3 linked regions of the Lepisosteus oculatus genome follow. The protein of the gene in region 1 purifies or fractionates together with the protein of each later gene. This does not show direct contact. Links are inferred from orthologs where the notes say so. Each region holds a gene or a part of one and is shown in the gene's direction. Other genes may lie near its edges.

Evidence for each region.
Region 2: the proteins of dnaJ homolog subfamily B member 1 (region 1) and bag5 purify together in Homo sapiens (affinity purification with mass spectrometry; 3 studies listed by BioGRID and IntAct, with this or other methods). This does not show direct contact. The link is inferred for Lepisosteus oculatus from reciprocal best matches to the Homo sapiens genes DNAJB1 and BAG5.
Region 3: the proteins of dnaJ homolog subfamily B member 1 (region 1) and pycr3 purify together in Homo sapiens (affinity purification with mass spectrometry; 3 studies listed by BioGRID and IntAct, with this or other methods). This does not show direct contact. The link is inferred for Lepisosteus oculatus from reciprocal best matches to the Homo sapiens genes DNAJB1 and PYCR3.

Annotation. Positions count from the first base shown.
Region 1 is NC_090706.1:21,692,547-21,700,231, reverse strand, and holds the start of dnaJ homolog subfamily B member 1, read left to right. Parts: upstream 1-4,631; 5' UTR 4,632-5,016; coding exon 5,017-5,227; intron 5,228-7,269; coding exon 7,270-7,685. UniProt on the Homo sapiens protein: Interacts with HSP70 and can stimulate its ATPase activity. Stimulates the association between HSC70 and HIP. Negatively regulates heat shock-induced HSF1 transcriptional activity during the attenuation and recovery phase period of the heat shock response.
Region 2 is NC_090703.1:6,905,475-6,912,808, reverse strand, and holds the start of bag5 (BAG family molecular chaperone regulator 5), read left to right. Parts: upstream 1-4,230; 5' UTR 4,231-4,266; coding exon 4,267-4,473; intron 4,474-4,849; exon of another isoform or gene 4,850-4,883; coding exon 4,884-5,191; intron 5,192-6,424; coding exon 6,425-7,264; intron 7,265-7,334. Other genes in the region: coa8 (cytochrome c oxidase assembly factor 8), read right to left, coding at 892-1,041. UniProt on the Homo sapiens protein: Co-chaperone for HSP/HSP70 proteins. It functions as a nucleotide-exchange factor promoting the release of ADP from HSP70, thereby activating HSP70-mediated protein refolding.
Region 3 is NC_090701.1:27,352,125-27,359,408, forward strand, and holds the start of pycr3 (pyrroline-5-carboxylate reductase 3), read left to right. Parts: upstream 1-4,276; 5' UTR 4,277-4,346; coding exon 4,347-4,383; intron 4,384-4,610; exon of another isoform or gene 4,611-4,696; intron 4,697-4,712; exon of another isoform or gene 4,713-4,869; intron 4,870-4,893; exon of another isoform or gene 4,894-5,057; intron 5,058-5,277; coding exon 5,278-5,373; intron 5,374-5,681; exon of another isoform or gene 5,682-5,745; intron 5,746-7,284. Other genes in the region: bmb (protein brambleberry), read right to left, coding at 720-942, 1,270-1,455, 1,761-1,889, 2,356-2,613.

The DNA of each region.
Region 1 (7,685 bases):
TAGGAATTACATAAACTGTATCTCTTTAAAAGTGGGGTAAGTTATTGCATATTGTGTCTTTCAGACCTACCTGACGATCTCCGTTGTGTTTGGGTCCTCAGTTTGGAAAGTATTTAAATGAATGAGAAATGTAGTATCCCCCTTACCCTGGGACAATCAAGAAAGTTTTTTTTTCCCCAATCCAGGTCCCAGAGAAACAGCGTGTGTGGGTTTTCATTCCAAATAATCTCTTAACAAAGAGCTGTCCTATTCTGTTTGTCTCTTTATGTAAAATCATACTATACTTTGTGAGTATGACTGCCTAAAAAGTCTACACCTCTGGACCCATAAGAAGCATTTTCACTTGAAAGCTAATTCATTGTGCATATCCATGGTGAACTCAACATCTAGAAACAAGTCTAATTTACCTGTGTAATTTTTTTAATTTAGATTGAATTTATTGTTAGTTCCAAAATATTTTTAATAATGAGAATATTTTTTTAAGTAAGAGCTGTATTTGATCACTTTTTCTTTTATGGTTTTGAAAGACAAAAAAGAGCAAATTAATGCAGAATTAGTGAGTGCTCCACACTGACAATTGCAGCAGAAGATTGAAAAAAAAAACCCTGTCAATATATTTATGATTTTTGATCATAGTGATTTGTAACTTTACATTCCTCATTTTGCAGCTGGATTAACAACTACTCACTTGTCATGAACATGAAAACTGTGGCCAAAGAAGGCATCTATGTTACTGAACATATTGATATTGGGATAAAGGGATAACAGAGTGTCTTGACTAATTGAGTTAGATTAACTTCAGTTGATTTTCTTCAGTATTTCACAGAGCCTCTAAAATGTGGAAGTGGTGCTTAGTAATTCTCACTGCTCTCTGGAAGCAGGGTGTAACAAAAATAAAACCAGCCTAAAACCAGATATTCAACTTAGGCAGGGGTTTCCAATCCTGGTCCTTGAGGCCCGCAGATCTGCCGGTTTTTAGTCCACCCAAGCTGTCAGTTACACAAGTGAACCCTTAATTGACATAGAAACAATTAATTTTTGAGGTCACCCTTTAACTACTGCATGTTTGAGGTAAAAAAAAACAACAACAACTTGCAAATGTTCCAATTAAGCAGCTTGTTAGATCTGCTTTTCAAGGGTTCAAATAAGTAAGTTCTGCTGGAATAAAAGAATCATTAGGAGTGTAGTACTCCAGGACAAGGTCTGAGAACTTCTGAGATCAAAAAGGGAAAATGGGAAACAGAAATATACATAATTAACTCACAAGAAAGGCGGCACAGTGACATAGTGATGAACCTTGCTGCCTCACAGCTTTGGGGCCTTGATTTCAATTCCGAACCTGGGTGCTCTCTTTGTAGAGTTTGTATGTTCTCCCTGTGTTCACGTGGGTTTCCTCTGGGTGCTTTGGTTTCCTCCCACAGTCCAAAAAAAAAAATTTTGGTAAATGAATTGGCTTCTGGGCAAATTGACCCTGGTGTGGATGTGTATATCTCTGTTTATGTCTCCGTGTGCTCTGTGATGGACTGGTGTCCTGTCCAGGGTGTACCCTGAGTTGCGCCTGTTGCTTGCTGAGATAGACTCCGGCCCCCCTGAGTTCATGAAATGGAAGAAAATGGATTGATGAATGAATGAAAATCCTGTAGCATTGGAAGACAAGGATTAGCCAAGATCACAGACAAGCAACATCTTAGAATCCAGGTGCCAAGATAGAACAGTCCTGCATAATGAACACATAAAAACAGATATAAAAAGGAAAAGCTATGCATTTAACATTTAATATATTCTTCATTTTTATCATGTATAATTTACTGTTGCAGATGCACTTGTAATTTTCATTTAGTTTAGTGTATATGTAAATGAAATGTTTATTTATCAAGTGAGTCTCAGAAACACACAAGCAAAAATAAGAGGAAGAGTAATAAAATGTACTTGGGTATTCTGAATTTGGAACCAAGGAATAACAGAAAATTGTCCGGTCCTTGAATGCTAAGAATATCAAATAGTTATGATATAAGATAACAATTCATTAATATTAAAACTAATTTTTAAACAAAAGCAATTCTACGTTGATAACATCAGTTTCCAAAGTGATAGATTCAATGCTACCATCTACAATGTGTGCTGGGTAGAATAGAGAGATGTGAATAAACAAGTAGAGATTATTTCCCTCCTGAAATGTTTTGGCTGTGGAGACTTCTTCACAAGGACAGAACAGAGACTTATTAAACTACAGCAGTTGCCATTTTCTTTCCTTCATAGGTTCCTCTACAATCCCTTCTGTGAAGTGATTCTTCTTTCAAGTGAGGCTAATACTCCTCCATCATCACTCTAAAACTTCATTCCCTAGGCACACATTATGCCAAGTATGCCATAGGTCCAGTATGCCAATAGTACAGTACTGTCTGACTATCCACATTGCTGCTATTAGAGACCACAGACACTGTCAATAGAAAAAAAGGACATCACTCAAAGTCACTGCTATTTTTAGGAAGTGATCTCACCTCCATGGAGATTTAAGTTTCTGTCTAACTCTTGTTCCTAGAAACTGTTGTCACATTGTTCGTTGTTGTGATGCAGATTTTAAATTGTTCCTGAGAAGATTAATTTGTAAAGGTCAGCTTTAGGCAGATGTCACCTCTTCTTCTATGGGATCTGAAAGGACTGTTGCAGGGATTGGGGTGGTAAGAATGGGCGTATTTGTTTTCATTACGTTGAGTCTGGCCTTGGTGTTTGGTCACAGCATTTCAAGTGGAATGTTATAGTCTTATCCTGAAGGGATGTCATCCCATGTTTCAATAAATAAAACTTATATCATACAACTCAGAAGGCACCAATGGAAACTACATAGACTTGTATATAAAACCAAGAGCAGGAGGCACTTTGTGACACCAACAACACACATCACAATAATAACATTACTGCCACCATGACACCTTAGTTTATACATGTTTTAAGTGCTTTGTCTTTCCTCTTTCACACCCCCGGCAGGATATAGTGTTTCTCTTTAAGGGAAAACTGCTCTGTTATTTTCCTTCTTGATTGCTTTTCATTTAGTTCTATTCAAGTCACTAGATCTTCAAGTCCACTAGAACAACCAATAACTCTTCTCATCACTAACTGTAACAGCTGATCCCATTTGGGATACTTTTCTTTAACCATCACTTGCACCCCTGACATAGCATCCAGCTTCTCACACTTCTCAATCTGTCTGCTGATGCACAGACTTTATTCAGGACACAATCTGTGCAATCCAGACTTCCTCTCAGATGCAGCCTTTCCAAGAGACACAGCAGCGGTCTTACAGGTATCAATACTTCCAGTCAGCCCTGGTTAAGCTGGCCAGCCATGTTCCTCAGCAGCAAACATCAACCCTACTGTGCTTGGCAAACTACCACATCTAACAAACACAGGACAGTGTTCTTCCCTCACTTTTGAGATTTTTGGAATAACATTACACTGCCTCCCTTACTTTTTTTATTCCTTTGGTTTGTTAATCCCTTTCTTAGTTTTCATGTAGCCTATCTGTCCAGCACCTGTAACACTCCTCAGTACAATTTCAAACATCACCAATTAAGCGACATTAAGGCAACCCAATCAGATATGAAAGAGAACTCTCTCTGAATGCTAATTACTCTATCAGACCAGGTGTGCCTCATTCCATAATTTCCCTCCCCAATTAAAAGATGGCTGTCTCACAAAGTCACCTGTCACTACCTCACACAATTCTTTGCCAAAAGGATTCTGAGTATGGAACTACCAAGCCATCTTATTGAAACTGATACAATTTATTTCAGAGGTTCTTAACCTGTGGTGCACAGACCTAATGGGGGTGAGCAACATACCAGATTTTTTAGTAGGTAAATCATCACAAGCACAAATTAAGTACAACTAACTTTGTCTAATCAAACCTACTGTAGGTATTTAAAGGTACTATAAACTTAAAATTATCCTTGAAGACATGCTGTTTTCAGGCCTGTAGATCTTCCCAATTCACTTTATAAACAACTACAGTATGTATAACTTTTTCTAAAAAAGTTTTTGTTTTTTATTTCAGCTCTTAATCAATTGGACAGGTAAGAGATTACCATTAACCTGGTACGATACTCATTTCCTATTAACATTTAAATAACCTTGTAAGTCAACTTGAAGTCCAGTCCATGCAAAAATCAAAGTATAAGATGAGACAAGCTCATTCAGACCATGTTGCTGTTTTGGTTGTCAGAGTAAAGAAAATTCTCATTAAACTGATATTGAAAAGATTGACACTAACTATATAATTATTACAATCCCATGGCACTCTTCGTATGAAAAGGGGATGTTAACTCTGGCAATTCTGCTCTGGAATACGATTTTTTTATGAAAGCAAGAATTCAATTAAATGCAGGCATTGTTGTTTATGTAACATCATCAGTGGACACGCATTATATAAAAATGTATATTAAATGCAAGCAATATTTGTTTTTTACGTGTGGCTTTCGCTCAAAAAGAAGTCACAGAACTATGTTTACGAGGGATGTGTTGAGAACTAGCTGATCAAATGGGGGCGTGGTCTTGAAAGGTTTGTCCGTCCGTGGCGTTGTAGAGGAGGGCGTTGCTGCCTACGCAACGACACTCTGACGTATGACGGGGGTGTGTGCTGGAAGGCAGTATGAGGAAGCATCTTGATGGCGGGGGAGAGTTCTGGAAGTTTCTGCTGTGTTATAAATACTGAAAGCAGGCAGAACCAGCGTTCTGCAGCTTGAGAGAAAGTCGTAGAGAGCTGGTTGCGCTTTATTTTGTTAAGGGTATTGCGTCGTTGGTGTACGTAATACAGGTGTCTGTATATATGACATTGAGATTGCGACTTTTTGTTTATCCTGCGTGGATCTGTAAAAGGAACTACAGTAGGAAACCTTTAGCTGATTCGCGTGACTGCTGTTTGTTCACTGTGACGACGTCGTGACCTTTTGCTTAAAGAGCAACTTGTGTGATTTTCCTCTTGTCGTCTTGTGAGTGTAATTGATCACCGGGGCTGTAATGGGTAAAGATTATTATAAGGTGCTGGGAATCCAGAAGGGAGCCTCGGAGGACGAGATCAAGAAGGCATACCGCAAGCAGGCATTGCGCTACCACCCGGACAAGAACAAGTCTTCGGATGCCGAGGAGAAATTCAAAGAGATCGCGGAGGCCTATGACGTTTTGAGCGACCCCAAGAAAAAAGACATCTACGACAAATTCGGGGAGGACGGTAAGATAACACTTAATTAAAAATAAACTCCACAACAGCAGCATTTCGGCAAGTTTAGGACTAGCAGTGAGATTCCGGGTGTCCCGTTACCTCCATGGAGGACCTCCCACTTCTGAAAACGTTTGACTCCTTGTGATGCCCAGAAAAGCGTTTCTATTAAGATGCCATGGGGAGAGAGCTGTTCCTTAAAGCTCAGTCGCATCAAGCGGATTTGCTGGGTGAATTGCGTTGCATTTTGCAGTCGGTGTTTAGATTTAAAGTCCTTGTGCGTGTGTTGAAAGTGTGCCCGACTCTCCCAGCCTACCGGCATGTTCTGGCAACTTCTGGGTGTGTGTGGCAGCTGATAGAGCCCAAAACCGAAACTAAAGACGTATGATCGACCAGTGCGCTTTCGAAAGTGCTAAGGTGCAGTTTCAGTTAGTGATGGTACTGTTTAACCTTTCTCGTAGTATCATACAGCTGACACGGGCAATCCAATACTGACCGATTGACCCCTGCAGGTAATCGGGTTCGATCTTAACTAGGTGCCGCGCTGGACAGGATACCGCTGTGGACTGTGGAGGCCTGGGGCTACAACGCGCAATCTATTACATTTTGTTGCTTTAAAATATCGATCCCCCTTTTCATATGCCTGTTAAAGGTGGGAAGGCACCACATTTTCTCCGTCTTATGCCCCCTTATTGTCAGACTTTAAACTTGCTGTAGAGTAAGAAATGCAAGTTTTGCTCGGAATCTGGAAAAATGACTGCTTGTTGAGTGTTGGTGAGAAAGGCCCCTTCAAAGTGTGAAGTTGTATTATTTATTTTTTTAAGAAATGCAAACATTCTTGAGCACTGCCGTGTTTCTCTGATGCTTTTCAGTGTAGGGTAGAATATTAAAATGTTGCCTACGTCGTGAGATGTTTTGTGGATCGAGTTTTGCACAACAGCCGATTGGAATCATTAATCGTGAGTCTTGTAATGTTTGTACATTAACCCTTATCTGCCTTAATAATGGCGTTTAAATATGAAAGCATAAAATACAGATTCGTTTAGCATTAACCCGTGTTGGAGGGATCAGAAACCATAACTTCTCGTTAAGGATGATCAGTTAGGGAAGAGAGAACTTAACCTTGTCTCGCTTTGACCAGTCTCGTTTACTTATTTCCGAAACAAGAATTTAAGTCCTAGTCAAAAAATGTTTTAGCCGCTTGAGTAGATATAGAGGTGAGGGTTCCATAGAAAAACAGTTTTCTTTTGTAAGTCAGCTATTCGTGTTATAGACTGATTTGTGGTTGTACTGTAGTTTTGCCATAGTCAGCGGGTAAATGTTAAGTTACGTAAATTTATTAATGTCATTGAATATCTAATACTTTACTTTCGCTGTGTTCTGGCGACCCGGGTGCGCTCAGCCGCTGATTGGCTCAGTACATGCCTCGCGTGCCTTCTGGAAGTTTCTCGCCTGGTCCTGTCTGGGGCTGTTAGAGGCTTACTCTGAGCTTCTGTCGGGATTATACAAGGGCAGGTTTGCAGCAGGGCTTCAGGTGCGCTTTGAACTAAACAACCGTCGCTGGATTTGAGGGCAGAAAGAACTTTTCTTTTAATTGGTGTCCCTGTTCTTGTAGAGTTATCTGATTATTTTACTTATAATTGTTTAACCCTAAACGACACTTTGAGAGGCCACATTTCTGTTGTGATGTTTCAATTTTAAGTGATATGGGCATTAAAGAACAGATAAGAAAGCAGTATTTACAGAATGCCTTCTCAGAGTACCTTGAGTACCATGTACCCTTCATGTACATAAGGTCAAGATGTGCTAAAATAGTCCGAAATAGGCAGAAATCAAGTAATGATTTGTTATACCAGAAACAATTTTCAACAATTTCACTGTTCTTCATACCTCATAATCCTGTGTGAAATAAAATATCCATCTTTTGAATGTCTTTGGTTCTTTAATCAGAAATTCAGTTGCTGCTCAATGGTGCAGCTCTCTTCAGGACAGTGCAGAAAGGCTTGATTTTTCTGACCTGTGCGTAATGTTTTGTGCCTTTTCCCCCCACTCAGGTCTGAAGGGGAACGCTGGAGGTGGCGGACCAAATGGCACAAATTTTAACTACACATTCCATGGGGACCCCCATGCCATGTTCGCAGAGTTCTTTGGGGGTCACAGCCCTTTTGATTCCTTCTTCAGTCGCAACGGGGGTGATGAGGATATGGACATCGATGACCCCTTTGCGGGATTTGGCATGGGGGGGTTCTCCAGGGGCTTCACACGCATGGGGATGGGGGGACGTGGGTCCCGGGATGGCATCGTGAAAAAGCAGGACCCCCCTGTAGTGCATGACCTGAAGGTGACCCTGGAAGAGGTCCTCACAGGCTGCACCAAGAAGATGAAGATCTCCCACAAGAGGCTGAACCCTGATGGACGTACCACCCACACAGAGGACAAGATCCTCACTGTGGAGATCAAGCGTGGCTGG
Region 2 (7,334 bases), on another chromosome or scaffold:
TGTGGAGACAAATACAGGTAAGGTAGTTATGAGAGAGAATCAGAGAGGGCCAAACTACACAAGGCCCATCAGTCTGCAAATTTCAGAAGCCCGACACAGTGGACTGACAAATTGCCCTTTTAACCTCTCATTAAAATTGGTCTAAATATAGCAGACATCACAGGAGAGAGAAAATGTGGTTTTCTTTCACGCCAATCCAATACCTAAAGCGGACTTCTGGCATGTACTGTTTCTTATCCTGTATTCTATTTTAAGGTCATTGCATAAAAGCATGATTCACAACTGCATGAAACCTCTCTTCCTGACTGCTCTGGTGGATATTCAAGAGATTCAAGGCAGGGAATCACACCTTGCACTGCCAAAGCATCCTGCAGCCACATACAATCTCAGGAGAGAAACATTTAAATGTTAGGAGAGTGTGCAGTACAGGGAGGAGAATCCACTTCAGGAGACTCTTATAAACAAGGTGCAGCTCCGTGCTGAAACGAGTTATTATTAAACGCATTTTCAGTTAAAAGTTCACAAGCTAAAAACACTACTTTTTTTAATCTTTCGGAATACCCAGTGGCTTGGAAATGTGTCTGGTCGGATGAGTAGAGAACAATTAAAATCTGCAGACATTGCTTGCTGTATAGGGAAGATGCATCTCAGGAGACTCTTGAAATAAACAATGTGTCTGTAAGAGATGTTAATCACACTGCAATACTGTAATAAAGAGGTTTTTAACTTCAGGGTGACTAAAACTACAGTACTTCTGCAGAGCGATATATCTTAAACACTGATGCATTCAATGTGCTCACAACCATTTATTAATTTCCAAGATATGAAAAAGCGATGTTATGTCGTAAAATAAAAATATATACAGCGTATACTGGACTTCACCATTCCCACCTCGCCTGGCCTCTTCTCCTGTTTAACGGGCTCTCTTTCACTGCTGTATCTCAGTCGTCCCGACAAAACACCTGCTGCATACCGGGAATACGTCAGTTTACCGTGATGGAGCGATCGCCACGTCCGAATTCCTGACAATTTTATACTCATCTCTGCCTTATTCCTTCAAACCTCTTCTCCACTCGCTGACCTCTTCCAGAAGCAACTTAACCCACGAACTTGAGCCCCACGTGACTACCCCGTGAACTTAAGAGGCTGGACAACAAAATCCTTACGCGGAAATCCAGCGCCCCCTTGCACTTGTAACCATCCACAATCACGAGTTTCGTTTTATCGTGCAAATTCAAGAGTTTTGGTGGAGTTTACACTATATATTGCATTATCAGTAGTGGGTTGATTTTTTTTTATGAATTCAAAACAACTTGTATAGCACAAAGCAAATATGTCGAAAACAATGACGCGAGTTGTTGTTTAAAACGACAAGATTAAAAGTGGAAGGTGTGTAAATGGGGTTAGAGAGGGGTACGTTTTCAATTCTTTTCGAGGTGATTTGCGGAGAGTAATTGTCTCTTTCAAAGATATTTACTGCGGCGACAGCGAGGGTGATACTGTCTCACATCAGGGTCCATGGAACTTCGGGATTTCTACACTTGGACCGTTCCGTGTGCGGACCTCTGTCGTGACGTCACTCGGCCGGCCCGACTCTTCTCCCGGCAGTGGAGCCGTGCGATGAGGATTGTTGTGCGTTTCTCTCTCCTCCCCTACCGATCTGATGGCTGTCCGCTGGTTATGCAGGTAAGACGCACACCGCTACCCTTGACCCCTTTCTTTGGTACGGAATACCTCAAGCGTAAATTGCTGGAATTGCCTTTTTTGTTTTTACTCATGGGTGAGGTTGTTACCGCCGCTGTCAGTCAGTTCTTTCTCAGCCTTTCTCGAAATTCTTACTGTTGACAAAGGATTTGAAAGGACCTGCTGTTATCAGTAAAAAAAAGATGTAGCAGTGTCAGTTAAGGATGATTTCGGATTTTGTAAAGCGATCAAGGGTGCCCATCGGAGACGTTTTCCAACAGGTCTAGTGCTGACAGTGTGATACACGTTTCGCTTCAGCGAGGTGTTGCTATTTGAATTTGAGCCGAGCTCTGCTACAGAAAACGTAAGGGCAGTGCCATTGTTTTTAGGCAGTGAGAATGCACCGTACGGTAGATATGCAATACCGTGGCTACTTACCCGTCCGGGACAGATTCACAGCTGTCATCCGCTTATCGTTAAGAAAAAAAAATGGTTCAGGTTGTGCGGAGCAGGGCGCCTCTTACAAACTGCACAGGTTGAAGCCATCCTTTCGCTATAGGGCCAGAGATTTGATTTCGTGCCGCTCGGTGCACCTGTCGCCCAGAGAGGTGATGGTGCTGTAGGAGATGAGCTTGGTGGCACTAAGATTTTCACCTGCATGACGGCCTCGATAGCCCCCTCCGAGGCCTCTGGTGTTGGAGAGAGCGTTAATTGTGCTTTGGCAGCGCTGTGAATTTATCGGCCATGCCCTTGAGTTTGAATTTGAGAGCACATGCGTTAGGGTTTCAGTCGGTTGTCAATCAGTATGTCACAACAACCATTTTGACGTAACCTTTACAGATGACACTACGATAAAAAAAAGCGAACTACTGGCGTTATCAAAGTAAGAAAGAGATGCGCTACAAAACAGAAAACTAAGGGTGTCTTAATGTTTGTGCGCGGTAACAGGGTAGCCCTTAACCAATCAATGACGAGCCGAGGTAATAACGAGAAAATTCGTTTATATATGAAGACTTTAATGAAGTATTCCTCAGAGCGCATTAGCAATAACTCATTAAGTGCCACCAAATGTAATTACCTTTGTGTTTTCTGTCTGGGCAGCATGCACGTTTCCGCGGAGGAAAATGGAAGTTAAAGCTTTAGGAAGCTACATCGTTTCTTAAGCAGTGCTCACAGATGATCTCGCTGTGCCTTTTTAAAAAAAAACTCGATCGTCTTCAGAACGAGTCCTGAACTGGTGGACAGCAGTTTAGATCTTGTTGTCTGTCTGATAAAAAATGTCAGAGCTTCACTAGCGAGAAGAGGAATGAAGATCATCTTTAACGAGTTTAAAATTGAAAACGTTTACATGACGTCCTCTTTTTCAGTCCTGTTGTAACCTTTTACAAGCAGCCTCATCTATCTCAGTGTTTTCCATTTTGTTTTTGTTTTGTTTTTTGCTGCCTGCACGCAGAATCCTGCACTTGTCTTGTGTGAACAAGCTGCAGTTGGGCAATATTGTGCCTGAAGCAGTATTGATAGACTTCAGAGGAAGTTGCGGATTACGATTGCGGAGGTTGAGGTGAAGACCTTACAGTGTCTCTGTGAATGAAGGTGCAGTAGTTCTACGACTTTCTTACTGACTGTGAAACTCCGGATGGGTGGTAGCAGAAGTGGTGTTCATGTGGCCATACTCCATGGGATTTGTGCGTTCAGTGATCTGAACATCGTTTCTAACCTACTGTTACGCGGACACATCCGTGGACACAGTACGGTAGTGTGACTGCTGGTTATTCGGGGCTCTTGGGTTTGATTCCAGTATGGGCTCCCCTCCAGGTCCAGTCTGCACATTCCCTCTCCATGTCCACATTGGGTTTTCATCAATACCCATTTCCTCCCACCTTCCGAAGACAGGCTGATGAGGTCACGAGGTGTCTGCAAGCCCTGCCTCCATGTGGGTCTACCTGGTGATGGCCTAGACTGGGGTTTAAGCTATAGTCCCATATTGCACCCTGGGCTCCCAGGACAAATCCCGGGTTGCATCAGCCACGTTTTCTGGTAATGGACGGATAGATAGATAAATCCATCCCCTGTGTCCTCTTCTCAGCTGCGGGGAGGTGAACGTTTGACCATTAAATGCCAACCAAGCATCATCCTCCATGTCTTCAGAGTTCACTAGGGGTCGGAGGTAAGCGGGATTCAGCGCCATCGATTCGTGAGCGAGCAGGCCGTCGCTGGGACTGAATTAGGGACGCGTGTGTACCGCAGGAATGGCGAATATTTCTAGCGGGCATTATTCTATCGCTCCCCCTGAATTCTTGATTGAAGTGCCAGTTTTAATTGAGGTTGTGATGGCATCGAGCGTATATTTAAAAAGCCTTGGTGCTACTTTGTGGGTTCTCTCTATCCATGCATGCTCCTATTCCTCCTGTCAGGTTTGCACTCGTGGAATATTACTGGGAGGCATCCGAGTGGAAATGTAACTGTTCCTGGTTGTCTTTCCACGCTATCTGAGGTGTGCGGGGCAGGTTGCAGCGATAAAGGTTGGCGAGACAGCCGTTTGAATTACTTTGTGATTCTGAGCGTCTCCATCACCTGCTGTTCATGCATCCCATCAGGACGCCAGGTGCGATATCACAGTGCTGGCACATGACCCGCACGAGGAGAGTAAGAGAATTCCCTCTCTCTGCCACTGACAGGTTTTTGGTGCTAGGAGTCAGATGCTGTTCACGCGTGTCAGCTCTGTTGTACAAAGTGACATGCAGTATGGTGATTGTGGAGGGGGAGAAACTGTGGATTCCTGCAGGAGAGGTGTGGAATAAGTATTTTTGGGTTGATGTCTTTTAGGTAATATTATATTTATTTACAATTTTTTAATGTTTGTTTGTACTATCCATCCGTATTGTAAGTTTCTGTGTGTGCAAAACATAGCTGCTTGGATGCAAAAAAAAATAGTGAGACATGAGGCGATCAATTATTCCTGTCTCACATGAACAGATAGGCAAAACCAAGATTCTTTACATTTTAAACATGACCACAATGCCAGTTCCTTGCTCTCTTGTTAAACAAGCGTCCTTTCAAAGGAATGTTTATAAATACATTAAATACATTGCCAAACAGGACACGTGATCCTTGTGGGTGGGGTCACATGCTCACACACAGACACCCACACGGTGTGAACTGTGAATGGGGCAGGTGACGGGGACGCTGTCTCCTTTAAGACGGCAGAAAACGAGGAACAAATCTTTTATGACATCAAAGACTCGCATCATCGGCAGACTGGCAGCTGCAGTGGAGCCTGCCAGGAAAGTGCTCTTCAGTCCCCAGAACCCTCGCAGTGTCAACACGGCCACATAACCTGCTTATCTGGGAATGGGCATGCCTGTGGTCACGGAGCAGCGGAATGCTCTGGAGCGTCTGGAGGACTATTCCGAGCCTTAGTGTTTCCCACTGGGAGCTGGGAGATCTCTAGCACAAGATTTCTAACGCAAATTAGCCTGCTTCATCTGCCAGCATATCCACCACGTTTGTAAGTAATTCCGTTTTTAGGTTTCTTTTTATAAGATTCCCGGATGGCGGGGGCGACGGGACTGCCTTTGATGTTCCCAGGCAGCGAAGTATCTGGGGTTGGGAAAGTAAAAAAAAAAAAGCTAAGCTGAACAGAATACCATTTTTTTCTTCGAAATGGGGGAAAGAAACAACAGCGAGGCAAGTGGGTTCCAGGGTGTGAACATGTTCCTCGTCGAATGCAGGAGATCGGATTGCTAAACAAAGAGTGGGCTGGTTTGTAATCTGCGTTCAGGGGTTCGGCGAGGAGCATTCCTTTGGCTGGGATGGTGAAAGTGTTTGGTGGGGCTGTTTTAATCCTATTTCGATGTTAGGTGTGGCGGCTTCTCTTGGGGGAGGGATTGTGTACTGAGCCATAAATCCCAGCCAGAGAGTTATTTGCGCAAAAGCTGTGATGTAATCCCCGTATCCACAGAGGTACAAAGGTGTGTATCGCTCTGGCTGTATGTTATCTCTAATGGGAACTAAACAGACATGTCTTCTCAAGGTTAGAGCGCTTTCCCTTTGTTCAAAACAGGATGGTTTTGTTTTTAATCAATCGCCGTATTTCCTACCAAACAAAATCTTTAGATGATATTTCGATATCGCTCTTCCCCGTGAGGCAGTATGATGGTTTACTCACCTAGACAGATGTTGCCCACCCTTGTGAAAAACAGGGTGATGCAGGCCTCTGAAGTAGTAGGTTGCTTGTAATCTGTTAAAAAATAGATAAATGCTCAAATTAACGTACTCCCGGGAAGTTAGTTGCCCCCTCTTTAGCCTCTCTGTCTTTACTGCATCATCCCACCCATCAGCTATTTTCTATAGCCCTGGAGGGCAGTGGTGGGCAGACACGGGGGCCAGGCAGGGCAGGAAACACCCTGGAACACACACACACACACACACGCACACACACGCACACACACGCACACACGCACACACGCACACACGCACGTACAGGGGCGATTTAGAGATGCCAGTTCACCTGGACTGTGGGGTCTTTGGACTGTTGGGGGGGGGAGAACTGAATACTCCACACGGAAGATGCCTCCGTCTGGAATCTGACCCAGGAGCTGGGAGGCAACTGCGCTCTCTGCCGCAGAGTTTTTTTTTTTTTTTTTTAAGCCCCTCCAGCTTCTGCACGGGGCTCCCGTTGTAGTTTGCCGCGAACGCTGTTGTGGTGACCCCCCCTGCCCCCCCCTCCCCTTCTCCGCAGCCTGTTTGGAAAGCCCTTTGATGGTGGGAAGCGCATGGAGACGGGCGGCCAGCATCCTGGCCTGCAGCGGCTGCAGGAGGTCCAGCGGGAGGTGCAGGGCCTGGGCAAGCAGGTGGGCTCCTTCAGCGGCCTGCAGAGCGACCGCGAGTACCGGCGGCTGGAGCGCGAGCTGACCCGCCAGCTGCTGGAGGTGGACGCGGTGGACACGGAGGGCAAGGCCGAGGTCCAGCAGGCCCGGAAGCGGGCGGCCCAGGAGGTGGAGGGGCTGCTCCGGCTCCTGGAGGAGAACTCGGCCCACCCCTCCCGCCTGGCCATCGAGGGGCTGAGCCAGGAGGCCCAGCGGCTGGTGGAGGCCGGGGTGCTGGAGCCCCAGAGGGCGGGCGCCGGGGAGATCAGCGACGAGCTGGTGGAGAGCCTGCAGGACCTGGTCCTGCGGCTGACCCAGGTGAAGACGGGCGGGAGGGTGCCCCTGCGCAAGGCCCGGTACCGGGCGCTGACCCGCGTGTGCGCCGTGCAGGACGTGATCGAGGGGCGCACCCGCCGGCAGACCCTGCCCCTGCCGCTGTCCGAGGACACCCACGCGGCCGTGCAGAGGATCAACATGGTGATGGCCAGGGTGAGCCAGGCGCGCAGCGAGCTCATCGCCCTGCTGATGGGCCTGGGCGACGGGGACAGCTGCGCGCACCTCGCCCGCGTGCTCACCGAGCTCCTGGTGGAGCTGGACGCCCTGGACGTGTCGGGGAACGCCGCCGTGAGGAACTACCGCAAGCAGGTGGTGGAGGAGATCCACGGGCTCCTGAAGCACCTGGACCTGGAGGGAGAAGGGGACGACACGTGCAGGTATGAGCCAAAACGACACAAAAGCCAGATCAGTGCAGAGATCCAGATCTCCTTCTGAATTCACTTTCTC
Region 3 (7,284 bases), on another chromosome or scaffold:
ATGTATCCTATTGTTGTTCGCCCTCTACCTCCAGTAAACACCAGTTTCAAAGCAGTGGAATTGTTAAATATCTTTCGGAAGACCCCTCCAAAACTAATCCCCCTAGACATTGACAAGGGGTATGAGTATGGGAGTGTATTTCAAGATTATAGCAATAACCATCTCATGACCCTCAAATGTGATGCAAATGTAATTAGCATCACAAAGAAAGTGCACCAGAGATTGTATTTCCTGCATCAGTTCTCTTTCAATTTTATAGAGCCACTATTAGAACTGAATAGAACTGTTTGGTTTGACAATGCGTCTGTCCACTCCAGAGGCAAACTGCAACACACTGTCCACTGTGCAGACATCCACGGGTTGTCCTTTGCCATCTACTGAAACCCTTTACAAACTTAATGTAAACAGTGAGCAGAAAAGACTGTGAATGACTCCTTTCTCCTGTGATCTCCTAATAAATCGGCCTCGGGGAGATGCTACCAGTCGATCAGAACTAAATCTGCCCACCACCTTAACAGTTTCTGCGAGGTGTACACAAATTATTGATCGTTTCCATCTAGGTTTTAGCACCAAGACACCAGATCAAATTTCTTATATGTGCAACATACTGTACTTGGTAAATAAAGTGATTATGATTTGACATGATGAGGAATTTGATTTCCCCCTCCCTCATAAAGTCATGTGTCTGGTTTTGCAGTCAATGCGTGTTCATGTCCTACCCATGCGCTGCGTGATGCGCTGGATGAGCTGTGCCACCAGTTCCTGCCCAGAACTGATCAGCTCCTTCTCCTGGGTAAGTCGCTCAAGGTTTGAGTTAATGGCCGAGTCCAGTTGCTGCTGCCCATTCTGTAGAGCCCCCTGCTGCTCTAGAAGGGCCCCATGACTTAGCAACAGCTTCTCCACCGAAGAGGCTGTAACCTCCTTCAGCTCCAGTTGACCCTCCTGGAAAACAGGGAAGAAAACGATACTTGATGCACAGGGGAAATTAAACAGGCAGGGAGACTGAGCCTGACAGTCTCCACCTCCCTGATGACCAAAGAGGGGAATAACCTTGTCCATGTCATCCATAAGTGAGAGTAAGGGAGATGAAGTAATGACACAGAGAGGAAGATGTAAAAAGACAGAAAAAGATGACTTTATTGTAGTTAGTTTTGCATTAAGAACATGAGTCGCAGGCAGTAGAAGGCACAGCAAGCCATTTTAGACAGTCAAGGTACAGGGGATGCAGGAATCACCAGTGGGTGAGAGTAGGGTATAGGCCGTTCTTACCTTGAGGGTCTTCATGGCCTCCAGCTGATTGGCTGCCGAGGAGATGAGAGAGTTGACGGTTAACTCCGCCTTCCTGCGGAAGTGCTGCTGGCGCGTGGCGTAGCAGACCGAGCGTGCCCGGTTACTCACGATGTGATATGCATTCCAGGTGTCTGAGTCCATCTCCGCCGTGCACTCTTTGATAGTCTGAATGGGAGAAGAGGAAGGAGATATTGAGGTTAATACTGTCACCAGAGCAAGGGGGTGAGAAAAGAAGGAAATGAAACTGGAGGAGGTGACGGTAAATATTGCCTCACTAGGAAAATAGATCATAAAAAGAGGTGGTTTTAGGTTTGAGACTTAATAAATGGGTACACTGGAAACTAAACAGTACAAGTGATTAAAATGCTTAAATAACTGAACACTGCAAATATATAATATATAATATATGGAACTCTTAAATCCATGCTCCTATTCACGAACTTTCCAAACCCGTCCCTTCAGGACCGTACCATTTCTTCAGTGCAGGGGAAGGTTCTGCGCCCTTCTACCTCTGCTTGGCAGTTGAATAAGACCACGCCTAGCTTGGCCAACTCCTCCTCTGACAGGCTGCTGCATGTTGTCTTGATCTTGGCAATCACCTAAGAGAAAGAACGGCATACTCAGCACCATCTTCTAATGATCACATTGATAATGTTCTGGAACTACACTGGGAAACGTTCGAGAAGTCCTCCTCTTCTCCAGTGAATCAACAGACTGACAGCACTCAGATCCAGCTCCTTGCACACGGAAACCAGACTTTTACAACTCAGCTGCTATCTGCACCTCAGACAACATGACCTGAGACAACCAATCATCATGTCAAAAAGCTACATTAATTGTTAAACTATAACTTTGAACTATAAGCAGCCAGAAAAATTGGTGCCATTTCTGCTTGTGGAATATAGATGTGTAAAATGCTAATGGAATCATATGAAGGTTTGCATTTCTATATTCCTAAAGATTCAGACAGACAGGTAACTAGTATACAGACACAAAATCGGGACCCTTTGAAGATGGATCCATGCTCAGAAAGACTCTGCAAGGGGCACAGACTCAGCCGGTTACCCGATAATGGCAGGTGTCCAAGGGGCTCAACTCCAGCTGTTTGGCCTCGGCCAGGAAATGCTCATCGGCGACACTCATCTCGAAGGGGGGAGGCGCCCCTCCTTCTGCCTCTGAGAAGGAAGGTGGAGGGGGGGCTGGGCTAGGGGCTGCCTTCTTTGTCATCCATCCAAAAAAAGCCCTTGCAGGCCTGACGTGGGTGCAGAGCCCCCAGAGAAACAGCGCAGACATTAAGCGTAGGCCAGCAGCCATGAGCATCATCTGGGCAGTGAGAGAGAGAAGGTCCCTTGTAAATCTATTTCCATTTCCAGCTAAATCTCAAGTTCATTTTCTGAAATTGTGGTTCCATGTTGGGGGGGAATAGGGTTTCCACATTCTTCTCTCTTCTTGAATGTATTAACTATTCTTTATCTTGACATAAAGAAGTCGGCTCTGCAGCCCCAGGTTTTGAAGTCCCTCTTGTTTCATTACAAGAGACCAGTTTTCAGGGTGGTGAGCATGGATCAGAACGCATGATGATTATATTAATGTCTCTAAACTTTTGGAGCAATTAAGGAAATGCTACTCTGCCCTCTTGAAGTCTTCATGAGATATTGCTCCTGTTTCAGGTATGTTTCCTACTTTGTCTCCTTTGTGAAATCCTGTTTCCCAGACCTTTTTGAATATTTTCTAAATGTAAGTGTGAAGAACAAGAAGCATCACACTACAGAGGCTAGTTCTAGCGCTTTCCAACAAGAAAAAACTAAAAGAGAGCTCAAGATGTTCTCAGTGTAACATAGCAGACAGCAAAATAAGTGTTACAGATTAAATAGTCCTGGGATGAAACACAATCCCACTCCACTACACAGAATCCACTGTCCACTCCACAAAACTATGACCCTCAGTTTTGTGATACCTTGTGATGATTTTACATCTTAACTTTTGACTAAGAACCACAATATTAAAATGCCGTCTCAAAATAAAGGAACAAGCTATCATATTGTTCAAGACGATACCCTGCTTCTGTCAAGAAACGGATAGTTGATCCAGGATCTCATCTACTGTATCAGCAACCAAACGGTCTTCTCTCCCTTTATGATGTTTTTACTTTTTTTCTAGTCAGGACATGCATTTAATTCAAAAAGCTTTAACACCAAAACGCATTTGACATATTTTGAGTTAGTTTATTGATTTAAGATTCATAAAACACGAAAAACATTAGTCGTACTTCACTGTTCAATGTTCAACCAGCTCTGTGTTTGAGAATGGCCATTGTCAACCGCGAGACAAATTTAACAAAGAAAATAGAACACCTGTAGATTTTTTTTACCAACTTTCGCTAATATAATTTGGTTATGAATTATAATAATCAGATTTGAGATCTTGTAACTGCGCAATACTCACAAACGACGTGCGTTACACCAAGTTCTGTTCTTATGACTGAGTAGTAACCATTTAGTATTAACATCTGGTATCAGAATGTTAACAACGCCATGTTTTCACATTATTTCAAAATATGTACATATAATTTTCTGTATGATGCTTGCGTTGTTTTTTCCCCTCAATTACTTATAATAGTTACTACCTGGCTCATCCTAGAGGTAATAATTCGAAAAAACGCGTTAAACGATTATAACACAACGCTTACCTCCAGTGGCAAGATATGTTGTACCTTGTAGGCGACAACTGATCCACACAAGAGATACGCCCTTTCTGTTCTACTGAATAGACCTGTAGAAAAAATCGTATTCCAGCTGGAAGCATTTATCACTTCCCGGGAAAATATTTAAATAACCACGGATCAGCCAATCAAATCCGTAATGTGAAAACAGGAAAATTGAAATGCTGAATGGCGCGACCCCTGGCGTCATGTAGCGGAAACAGAAAATAGCATCCATTAAAAGCATATTAATTTGTGGACTCGTTTAGATAATTATTTTTCCAACAAAATGCTGTTTGATTCGTTTAGGATTCAGTGTGAACACTGACACCGAAATAAATACTTCCTTTAAAAGATGGTCATTTTGGTGGAGGAACTATGCATTTTGTCAGGTGCTGTGTGTTGCGAAGAGTCGCTTATCTAGTGATGCGGCTACACATTTGATGTTGTTTTATTTTCATCTACGTCTTTCTTATAGTGTAACTATCCTTTTATTTTAAATTAAGCCGAGGTCTTGATTCTATAAAGTAAATCGCTATTAATAAATGGCTTAATAAAAGACGTCAACTTTTAATAATAAATCGATTAATCTGAAAGTAAACAAGGAGAAAGTACATGGTCGGCCATACATTTTTGCTCCTCTACTTATCTCCGACCAGAACTCGAGGTTATATCATGGTTGTCTAGCTGAAAGACACGTGTATAGTATGTATATATTTATTCCTGGTTCGTAAAGAGCTGACTCGATTTTGCGTGATTATTGTACACTCGATTCTTATTTCTTTCCCCTCGGTTATTAAAAATAAATAGTTAACTGATAACTTATCTGTGGGGGTAAGGTATCACTGCAAATATATTGAACGATTTACTAGACTGAGGTATCCATGCTTGGATAAGAATAATACCACATTTTTATTACAGATTTTGCATCCAGTTTATACTAGATCCACTTTATTGCCGATGTATGGAATTCCATGATTTAATTTTAATTTGACTACTGAGGCGTTGACGTTAAAATGCATTAATATCACCGCGGTAAACGTCTGCAAAACATTGACAGTTGCGGGTAATGTCTTAAAGTTATGGACCAGACGGTTATTTTCATGTGTAAATGCTACAGTTTCCTAAAGCAGTTTTATAAATAATACAAGTTGTAGCAGATCGCAGGTTTCTCGCTGAGTTACTTGGTGTTTCACCAGTTTTCGAGTAATTTTTACACAGGAGGGAACTAGCGTGATTTTATAGAAAAAAATCAGTTGTAACATTGATTTTAATTTTCTTTTCAGATTTGGAGATGGAGCCAGATTTGTCAGATCTTAAAATTGGCTTCATTGGAGCCGGGAACATGGCCTTTGGAATAGCTCAGGGGCTTCTGATGTCAGGTGAGACCTCTTTCCTCAGTGTCGCAAGGCATCTTGGTAGAGTTTCTGCCTGCAATAGATGACTGTATGCTAAATCCCGCATTTTCGGGGCTTAAAGTTTGTCGTGAGACGTTCCTTTAAATTTCCTTTTTTTGGTAGATTTGCCTTCCCGGTTATAAATAATATAACTCTCATAAGTGGAGGCATCATCATCTGGATTTTTATTACAATTCTCTGATTCAGTCTTTATTTTAAAATTGATTTCATTTTTAAAAAGCTAAGATTCGTATTTGGTATAAACCCAAAGCTAATTAATGGGTTTCATAAAGTCCCTCATTCAGGTGTGCCTGCTGAAATCTAACCAACTGGCAGAAAGAAAAACGCTGACACAGTGTGAGTATCTGATAGTGTCATTCCCATCACCTATTAAGAGCTGCTTAGTCAAAAACTAAGGGAGCCAATGATGCTGTAGAAAGCTCTCTGTGTTGGCGTTGTTGGAAATAATGACTCTCTTTTAAAAAAAAACAAGGCATGTGTGCAGAAAAGTCTATATACAGTGGTGAAAAAGTTTGTGAACCCTTTGTCATAGCAGCGGTGCTGAATTTCTTCCATTTGTAAACTATCTGCATGACTGTGTACTGATGGAGGGCCAAGTCTTTAGAAATCCTTTTGTAGCCCTTTCTTATGAGTTTCAACAACTCTTCTTCTGAGGTCCTCTGAAATCTCTTTTGATCGGGCCATATTGCACTTCAACAGAATTATGGGCTGAACTGTTACTAATGAGACCGAGCTATAAATTGGTCATTACTGATGATGGGGTCAGTCGGGCTGGGAATAAGATAGATGTGGACACAAGAGCTGACTAATGCCTGTGTGATATTTTTAATATGGATGGGAAAAATGTAGGGCCCAGGATAGTATCTTTTGTGACTCCCTTAGTACCTGACAGAGGTTGTGCAACAAATCTAACATGTTTTACACACTGTATGTGTATTTTACATACACTTTTGTGTACTGAATTGACCTAATTTAAGCTAATTTATTATTAAATTATTTTTCTTATACCCACCCAATTTGGAAAGTTAATTTTATGTTGTTTGACATTTTTCCTGGGAGATCCAAGCCCCCTGACTGTACACTGGGGAGAAAGAGGAAGGCTAGACAGATTCCTCTAGCCCACCTGCCTTTGTGTCGCTAGTCTTTTAACACCTCACATTCAGTATAGACCTCTTGTCGTGGCTACAGTGCCGATGGGAGGAGAGGTGCGTCTCTCACGCCCCACATTGTGGGCTAGCTGGCACCCAGGAGCCACAGGGGTCACTGTGTGCTTGGGAGCTGAGAGAGCCCTGGCCAACTATACCTTACTACCAACCCGGTCCTGGTGACAGCCAGCTAGTGACATGACCAGTGGTCAGGAGAGCCTCTTTACCAGTGAGCCACTTGGGAGGCCCAGTAAGGAACTTCTGAAACCAAGCAGAGGATTTCATATCAAAAGCGGTACTAGACAGCATTTATAAGACTGAATGATATTGAAAGTGTGAACTTGAGTGACTTGAGTGAGAACCTTTGTCATATCCTTACAACTTTCAAGGCTGCAGTAACATACCTGTGCCCTGAACGAAATCAAACTGCATCTCAAAATATATTTGCTGTATAAAAGAAGATTAACAGCTTGTTTAGATTTTTTCCTGATGTTAGAAGCCCAAAGCACATTGGATATATTGCAGCCCTACAATAATTAGGGTCTGACTTAAGGTTAGGCTGAGAGGGTGTTGTTTAAATGTAGCTATTGTTAGTTGAGACTGAAGAGATTATGTTCCTGCTTCAAATAATATGCGTCTGGATCCTTAGAGCATATTTAGCATTTTTTTTAGATGATAGCATGTCTATTCTGTGCTCTGCAAGATAATGCAACACATATGCCATCAATGT